Daphnia pulex: one gene and its partner. The protein of the gene in region 2 binds, or shares a complex with, the protein of the main gene of each other region. Links are inferred from orthologs where the notes say so. Each region holds a gene or a part of one and is shown on either strand. Other genes may lie near its edges.

Region 1 (3,826 bases), on a different chromosome or scaffold from region 2:
GGCCAGCGCTGATATAAGTTTTTTCAAACAAAATAAAAAGCCGAATTTTTAAAAATTTTAATTTTGATTCATATATTTCTTTCATTGGGGCCTGATAAGATTTTTTTTTAAAGATGATAGTAATCTTTTTGTACATATTTTTTCTTTTCCTCTTATATAATAACCCTCGGTTCCAGAAATATTGTGCGCTAATTAGAATAATATTGAGTGGCCGTTCTCTCATCCTCCCCCTTATACCAGTTCCTCCAACTTTATATCTCTATGGCTTTACGTGTGTGTTTAGCATTTCCTTCGAGAAGCCCCCCAGGTAGACACCTATAAACTAAGTATATCGAATGGCAAGGATTTAGCAGCTCCTACTCTCTACCTTTGCCCCAATCGTCCCTCCTCAGCTCAGTCCTTAATATTACATGGCTTTTGACGCGTTTGATGACATAATCTTTGGTTTTTGTATTTTAAAAAGTCAAAGTTTACTGGTGTGTTGGGGGGGGGGGAATATACAGCGGGGGATGTACAATGTTCAAATTACTTTTGATCCCTCGACTCTGTTCGCTTTCCTTTTTTATTCTACGATGAAAATTGATCCCGTTTCGTAGATTTTGAATGATAATTTGAATTCAAAAACTGGACGGCAAGAAACGATATGATTACCTTCGAGTATTGGTTTCCTTCATTTTTCTTTTTCAAGTGAAAAAGAACCGACGTCGATGTGCATAATGCATACAATTTGCATACGGTATTGAAAAAAACAAACAGATACTCATTTGGTATAAATTTAGATTTTTCTTTCTTTTTTTTGAGAAAGAGAGATTGCGGAATTTTGCATTATCCTTACGTAACCTTGGGTTTTTTTAAATTTATGTACATGTCAAAAAATTTCTTTTTTTATGTTTCCTTATATTTCCCACACTTCCGGCTGTACACCACATTTTGATAAAAATAACTTTGGGTTCTCATCATTTAATTATTATGATATGCGTGTAGTTTTTATTTTTTCATTTTTTTTATTTTAATATCATTAGCTGTGTAATATTTCCGTGATGCCAAACATACAACTGTCATCTAGAATGAGATTTTTATTCGTTGATTGAAAAAAAAAAAATTCTTTCTAAACAGTTAACCGCGTTTAGCCAAAGTTTCTTCCAGATTGGGACCCGCGCAATTGGAATGTCGTAATATTGGGTGACGTGTCATCAGATCCTCAATCCATCATGGCGAACTTCCTGTACTTCCTTCGATACCGGTAACTTTTTGGACCTTGGATCGGACGATTCGTTTGACGCCATTTCGTCGCACCTGAACCGAAAAGAATTTCACAAGTTAAAAATCTGAAGAAAGCCAAGTTATGATATCTAAATATAAACAATAACTATTTCAACACTGTATTCAAAAAGTGAATTGCACTTCAAAATAAATATGAACAGTCTGGTGAGTCAATTTACGTTGGTTAAGCCGTTAAAAGCGGCGCACATTCTGATGCGCGATAGGAGAGGAAAACAAAACATGGTTTATATTTCCCAATATTTAGTCGAAACAATTTCTAAATAATGGAAACGGTGTATCGAATTCTTTCATCAAAAAATAAATCTACAAACCAATAATACGCAATCAACATCTTCAACATTAAACTTCCAAAATTTTAGAAAAAATTTCAATTTTTAGAAAAATGAAATTTTCCCGCACAGCCTTCGTAATACCTGCCATCTGGTGACAGAATAAGGAGGTTCTTGTACACGACTCATTGTTTGGGCTAGCTTGTTGCAGACTTGCAGAAGGAAGCGAGAGTCGAAACGAGAAGCCGGCAAGTAATTATTCTTAACGTTTGTTGTTTTGAATAATACAACTTACTTAAGAATGCCCTACGCCAATCAACCAAATCTCAAATTGACCGAACTAACAGAGGAAAATGTTAAATTTCAGATTTCAGACACAGACCTTAGGTATTTACTTAAATTGTTGGTAATGAGAACATTTATATCATGCCTTTATCACATTTCAGTGTAGCAAACTCTCTGAGGCGAGTCTTCATTGCTGAAACCCCTACATTAGCCATTGATTGGGTCCAGTTTGAAGCAAATTCCACTGTCTTGTTTGATGAATTTTTGGCACATCGTGTGGGTCTTATTCCACTGACTAGTGATGACTCTGTTGAAAAGATGCAGTATTCCAGAGACTGCACTTGTCCAGATTTCTGTGTTGATTGCTCAGTGGAGTTCACTTTGGATGTTAAATGTTCTGAGGATGTTACACGCAATGTCACCACTGCTGATCTAAAGAGTACTGATCCAAGAGTGGTTCCAGCTACCTCCAAACGGGATGAAGAGCCACCAGATGACAATGATAATGGTACTGCAGAACATTTCTAAAGTTTGGAATCTGAGTTTGATTATAAATTTTTTTGTTTGTTTTAGAAATTTTAATTGTCAAGCTTCGTAAAGGACAAGAACTCAAAATGCGGGCATATGCCAAGAAAGGTAAATTTTGTTGCAGTTCAATTTGTTTCTCCTTCTTGAAAATATATATTTTTTTTTAGGTTTTGGTAAAGAACATGCAAAATGGAATCCAACAGCTGGAGTGGCCTTTGAGTACGACCCTGATAATTCATTGAGGCATACTTTGTTCCCGAAACCTGAAGAATGGCCAAGGAGTGAATATTCGGAGCTGGGCGAATCAGATCAACGTAATTTTTAAACGAATTTTTATGGTTTAACTAGTTTTATTTGAATTTTTATTTATTTATTTTTAGATGAAGCCCCATACGATCCTGATGGCAAACCTAACAAATTTTTTGTTAACGTGGAATCTTGTGGATCTTTACGACCAGAAAATATTGTCTTAATGGGAATCGCTATTCTCAAGAAGAAACTTTCTGATTTGCAGACCCAATTGAGCCACGAAGTGCAAAACGATGCCCTCGCCATCAACTGATTTTCCATTTTGTTCGAAATAATTGTAATGGTTTTGTATTAATGCAATTAATACACGAAGAATTAAGTAAAGCCGAATATCATCAAACTTATTTAATTTGTCTTATAAGATCTCAGGTGGACATGGAGTAAAAAAGGAACTTATGTAGCACAGCAAAATATGGTGAATATGAAAAATACATTGGTGATCTATAATACTGCAAGAATTCTAGTGAAGCCAAAACAAGCACTGCAGAATGTTTGTCCCACACCCCAAAGTGCAACATGCCATCTAGCCATGACTAGTCCTGAGTTTTCATACACAAATGACACAACTGCGCTTGTCACTGCACCTGTTGTTAGAGGTGTGATAATTCCCATCAAAAGAATTATGATGGAGTAAAACCTATTGCCAAAAGATTATATTTAGTTGTAACAGAATATGTGGAATGCTTAGGTATATTTTACCTTCCAACTGCATGCTTCCTTAATGTCAGAAATGCAATTATGGCAGCAACGGAATGAATGAAGATGGAAGAAAACATTGCCCACAAGAAAACGTTGTACCACATTTCTAGATGTATTGGGCATTGAATATTTTTATTATAGGTAACATGTTTCCTCTAAATTTAATATGTGGGTGAAAAAAAAATAATACCAAAGAACTCTTCAAGAGGAGCATTTGGTTTGTTCCAGATTTTTTCGAGGATGAAATCCATGTTAGAACTAGTTGACTGCGAGCCATCAGCAGATATTGGTGTTTGAATCATAGTGAGCTGCATTTTGCTATGCAGTGTTATCGCTCAGAACGATATCTGTCGCAGTGTTGTAAATCAGTTTGCTAATAGCAAGATAAAGAATAATTGATGGATGATAGCTTACAACGGAGCACGCGTAAAATAGACACCCAATAGCTGGGA
Region 2 (4,052 bases):
TTTTAATTAGATTTAAATTTTTAAAAGATAGAAGATTAGAAATGACCTGTTTAGCTGTTATTCGTGATTGGGGGCAATAGCGAAGAAATTGTTCCAGCATCGTTCGTGATGATTCGTCTACATCAATCAGGATTTTCTTAAAGGAGATTTGTTTCCGAGTTTTGGTAAATGAAATTTTGTGGAAATCTGGCAATGCTGATACACCTGGCCAATTTTCTTCGTCTGGAGTGCCTAGTACTATGTAATTACCCACAAAAGAGTTAATGCCATTCACCTTGATTATGATTACCGTATTGTTAATGACCTTGAATGACTGTGCACAGTTGGCCAATGTCATTTTCTCCCTAGGGTTTGATGGAAATCCGGATACTGTTACAACATATTATATTGACAACATTGGCCATTATTTACCGGAAAAAGGGGAGAATTCTTCAACATTTCACCAAAGATACAGCCCATAGCCCATAGGTCGACTTCCGGTCCTGTTGTGAAAAAGGTGTTAGAATTAACATGGCATTTTTAAATTAAAATGAAACTTGCCATAGTTGCGAGAACCATAGAGCAGTTCCGGTGCTCTGTACCACCGCGAAGCCACCTGATGTGTGAATAATCTTTGAGCCTTTTCGGAATGATTGAACGTACGACACAATCCGAAATCGGTCACTTTCAGTTCGCCTCGGGAACCAATCAGCAAATTGGCCGGCTTCAAATCCCGATGCATAATACCCAAACTATGAATATATTCCACAGCGCTGGCTAGCATCCACATGTCTAAATGGAAAGGATTGCATATTGGTTATTTGAATGCCTAAAATCTGATTGTAGAGATGTAAATATGGTACAGCTTTTCACGTGACTCGTCGGCAAAGGTTTGGAGTTGGAGCGCAAAAATTCGTAGAGATCTATTGGTAAATATTCAAAGACCAACACAAGCGAATATCCTTGTGGGAAATAGTCCACTAGGTTCACTACATATTCATGGCGGATCAGGCGAAGAGCCAGCAATTCACGAACAGCCGAGTTCGGCAATCCCTGCTCGTTAATGTTCTTCAACGCTATCCGTTTCATGGCGACCAGTTTCATTGTGGACTTGTCAATACCTTTAAGAACGATCCCGTGTGCCCCTTCCCCAATCCTGCCGTTCACAATATATCTTTCCATGAGATCGTTTAAAAAAACTAATCGCAACAAATATTTTTAAACAACAAATTGGTTGCCTTGACTACGCGCCATCTATTGGTAACCATTATCGACACGTGAAAAGGAAAATTAGTCTGCTAGAAATTTGAAGAAGAACAAGTGGCAAGCAACTTTATGTGCATGTTGTTGTAAACTTTCTCGTACAAAAATGAAGTAAATCCCGCACTTTTGTCAATTCAGAGACCACATTTAATTTATTTACATGTTCATAGATTAAATGTTGATGGACTCCTCGTCTACTTCCCTTACGATTACATATACCCGGAGCAGTTTTCATACATGCTCGAACTGAAACATGCTCTCGATGCAAAAGTATGTTGTATCGTCCAATACTAGTATAACTTGAAATTACATAAATATCTGTTGATGTTGGATCAATTCAGGGTCACTGTTTATTGGAAATGCCTTCTGGAACGGGGAAGACAACAACATTGCTATCATTAATTGTGGCCTACATGAAGGCTCACCCCCTTGATTTAACCAAACTAGTCTACTGTTCAAGAACTGTTCCTGAAATTGAAAAGGTTATGGAAGAATTGCGAAAATTAATGAATTACTACGAAAAAGAGATGGGCATGGAACAAAACATTCTTGGCTTGGCACTTAGCTCCAGAAAGAATCTCTGCATTCACCCCTCAGTAATATGAATTAAATAGTAAAAAGATTTAAAAGTATGGTTAATCAACAACACAATTACATAACAGGTCAGTAAGGAGAGAGAAGGAAAAGTAGTCGACGGGCGCTGTTACGGTCTCACGGCATCGTTTGTAAGAGCTCGTCATGCAGGTGATGACGCTGTGCCAGTATGCAACTTTTATGAAGGATTCGATGCTCATGGAAAAGAATTTCCGCTGCCTCCTGGGGTGTACAACCTGGACGATTTAAAGGAATATGGACAGGCCAAAGGATGGTGTCCTTATTTTCTTGCCCGATACACCGTTAGATCATGACATTTATAAAATATTGTACAACCAAATTAATACCAAATTTAAATTATAGATAACTCACGCCAACATTGTGGTGTACAGCTATCATTACTTACTTGATCCCAAGATTGCAGAAGTCGTTTCCAAGGAAATTTCAAAAACTAGCGTCGTTGTCTTTGATGAAGCCCACAATATTGGTAATTTTACTGAAACGTAACCTCTTAAAATTGCCCTACTAATTAAATATTGGTTTTTCTAGATAATGTCTGTATAGATTCGATGAGCGTCAAGATAACGAAACGTCTGCTGGATAAATGCTCCAATAGCATTCAAATTCTGGAAACCACCATTTCAAAGTAATCACAACTGGATGTGCATGATTAATTTCAGAGTTGTTAACTTTTTTAACTCTTTAGCATGAAAGAAAATGACAACAGAAGGTTGGAGAAGGAATACCAAAGGCTAGTTGAAGGATTGCGAGATGCTAACATAGCGAGAGAAACTGACATGGCTTTAGTTAACCCGGTTTTACCTTCTGAAATTTTAGAAGGTCTGTATTTATTCACAAGTATCCGTTCGGGCCATTTTAACATTTCTTTCATTTATAGAGGCCGTCCCTGGAACGATCCGTACTGCTGAGCACTTCGTGGCCTTTTTGAAGCGAGTAGTAGAGTACATCAAAACTCGACTCCGCGTCCAGCACGTCGTTCAAGAGAGTCCCGCCGGTTTCTTGAGAGATATTCACATTAAAGTGTGTATCGATAGGAAACCTCTAAGGTATATAAAAATACAGTTTCACACGCACAAATTATTATTTTACCTATTTTGTTGATAAACTTTCCAGATTCACCGCAGAGCGTTTATCTTCACTCATTCGCACTCTTGAAATATCCGACCTGACGGATTTCTCACCTCTTGTAACCGTTTCTCACTTTGCTACATTGGTCTCGACATATACTAAAGGGTTAATATCTTTATTTACAGTGATAAAATGGTGAAAAAATATCTAAAAGTAATTTACTATTTTAGATTCACCATCATCATTGAACCGTTTGAAGATCGGGCACCTACAGTTTCCAACCCAATTTTATATTTCAGGTATGTGAATATAGAACACGCAAAGACCAACAGTGATTAATGCTAGTACATTTTACAGCTGTTTAGATTCATCTATTGCCATCAAACCAGTTTTCAATCGTTTCCAAACTGTCGTCATCACCTCAGGAACCCTTTCACCGCTTGATATGTATCCGAAAATCCTCGACTTCCATCCAGTCATAATGACCTCATTTACTATGACTTTGGCGAGACCCTGTATTCTGCCAATGGTAGTAGATGCCTCATTTTTCATAAATGTTAACGTAACACTAAAATTCTTATTTTAAGTATAGATCGTATCGAAAGGTAACGACCAGGTCGCCATGTCATCGCGATACGAAACTCGTGAGGACACCGCCGTTATTCGCAACTACGGAAATTTGTTGGTTGAAGTAGCGGCCGCTGTACCCGATGGGATTGTTTGCTTCTTCACCAGCTACCTATACCTGGAAACAATTGTGTCGTCTTGGTACGATCAGGGCATTATCGATCAATTGCAAAGACACAAGCTCCTCTTTATCGAAACCCAAGACGCAGCAGAAACGAGTTTGGCGCTGATTAACTACATCAAAGTACGTTTCGTTTCTAAAAGTAATTAATTCCTCTAGTCTAAAGATTTTCGTTTAATCTGAATCGATCTGTTTAATCGAGTGAAGGCTTGTGATAATGGACGAGGAGCTGTACTACTTTCAGTCGCACGGGGTAAAGTCTCTGAAGGAATTGATTTTGACCACCATCTTGGACGGTATGAAAAATAATAGGAAAACAAAAGATTCTGACTATATTGACCATTTCTTTTACCGATTCATGTAGCGCCGTGTTAATGTT

Evidence for each region. Proteins that work in one complex are often made in the same cells at the same time.
Region 1: general transcription and DNA repair factor IIH helicase subunit XPD-like (region 2) and DNA-directed RNA polymerase II subunit RPB3-like share a complex: the UniProt entries of both Homo sapiens proteins name them as parts of the TBP-based Pol II pre-initiation complex. The link is inferred for Daphnia pulex from reciprocal best matches to the Homo sapiens genes ERCC2 and POLR2C.

Annotation. Positions count from the first base shown.
Region 1 is NC_060024.1:10,723,512-10,727,337, reverse strand, and holds DNA-directed RNA polymerase II subunit RPB3-like, read left to right. Parts: upstream 1-1,747; 5' UTR 1,748-1,854; coding exon 1,855-1,940; intron 1,941-1,999; coding exon 2,000-2,346; intron 2,347-2,411; coding exon 2,412-2,474; intron 2,475-2,533; coding exon 2,534-2,680; intron 2,681-2,746; coding exon 2,747-2,928; 3' UTR 2,929-2,999; downstream 3,000-3,826. Other genes in the region: transmembrane protein 170A-like, read right to left, coding at 3,117-3,312, 3,375-3,480, 3,565-3,688. UniProt on the Homo sapiens protein: Core component of RNA polymerase II (Pol II), a DNA-dependent RNA polymerase which synthesizes mRNA precursors and many functional non-coding RNAs using the four ribonucleoside triphosphates as substrates.
Region 2 is NC_060017.1:8,164,247-8,168,298, forward strand, and holds the start of general transcription and DNA repair factor IIH helicase subunit XPD-like, read left to right. Parts: upstream 1-1,252; 5' UTR 1,253-1,348; coding exon 1,349-1,353; intron 1,354-1,412; coding exon 1,413-1,512; intron 1,513-1,583; coding exon 1,584-1,838; intron 1,839-1,904; coding exon 1,905-2,138; intron 2,139-2,199; coding exon 2,200-2,323; intron 2,324-2,385; coding exon 2,386-2,482; intron 2,483-2,542; coding exon 2,543-2,676; intron 2,677-2,734; coding exon 2,735-2,903; intron 2,904-2,970; coding exon 2,971-3,090; intron 3,091-3,155; coding exon 3,156-3,224; intron 3,225-3,282; coding exon 3,283-3,454; intron 3,455-3,517; coding exon 3,518-3,796; intron 3,797-3,880; coding exon 3,881-3,969; intron 3,970-4,037; coding exon 4,038-4,052. Other genes in the region: cyclin-dependent kinase 20-like, read right to left, coding at 47-237, 305-344, 412-482, 541-771, 843-1,161. UniProt on the Homo sapiens protein: ATP-dependent 5'-3' DNA helicase. Component of the general transcription and DNA repair factor IIH (TFIIH) core complex, not absolutely essential for minimal transcription in vitro.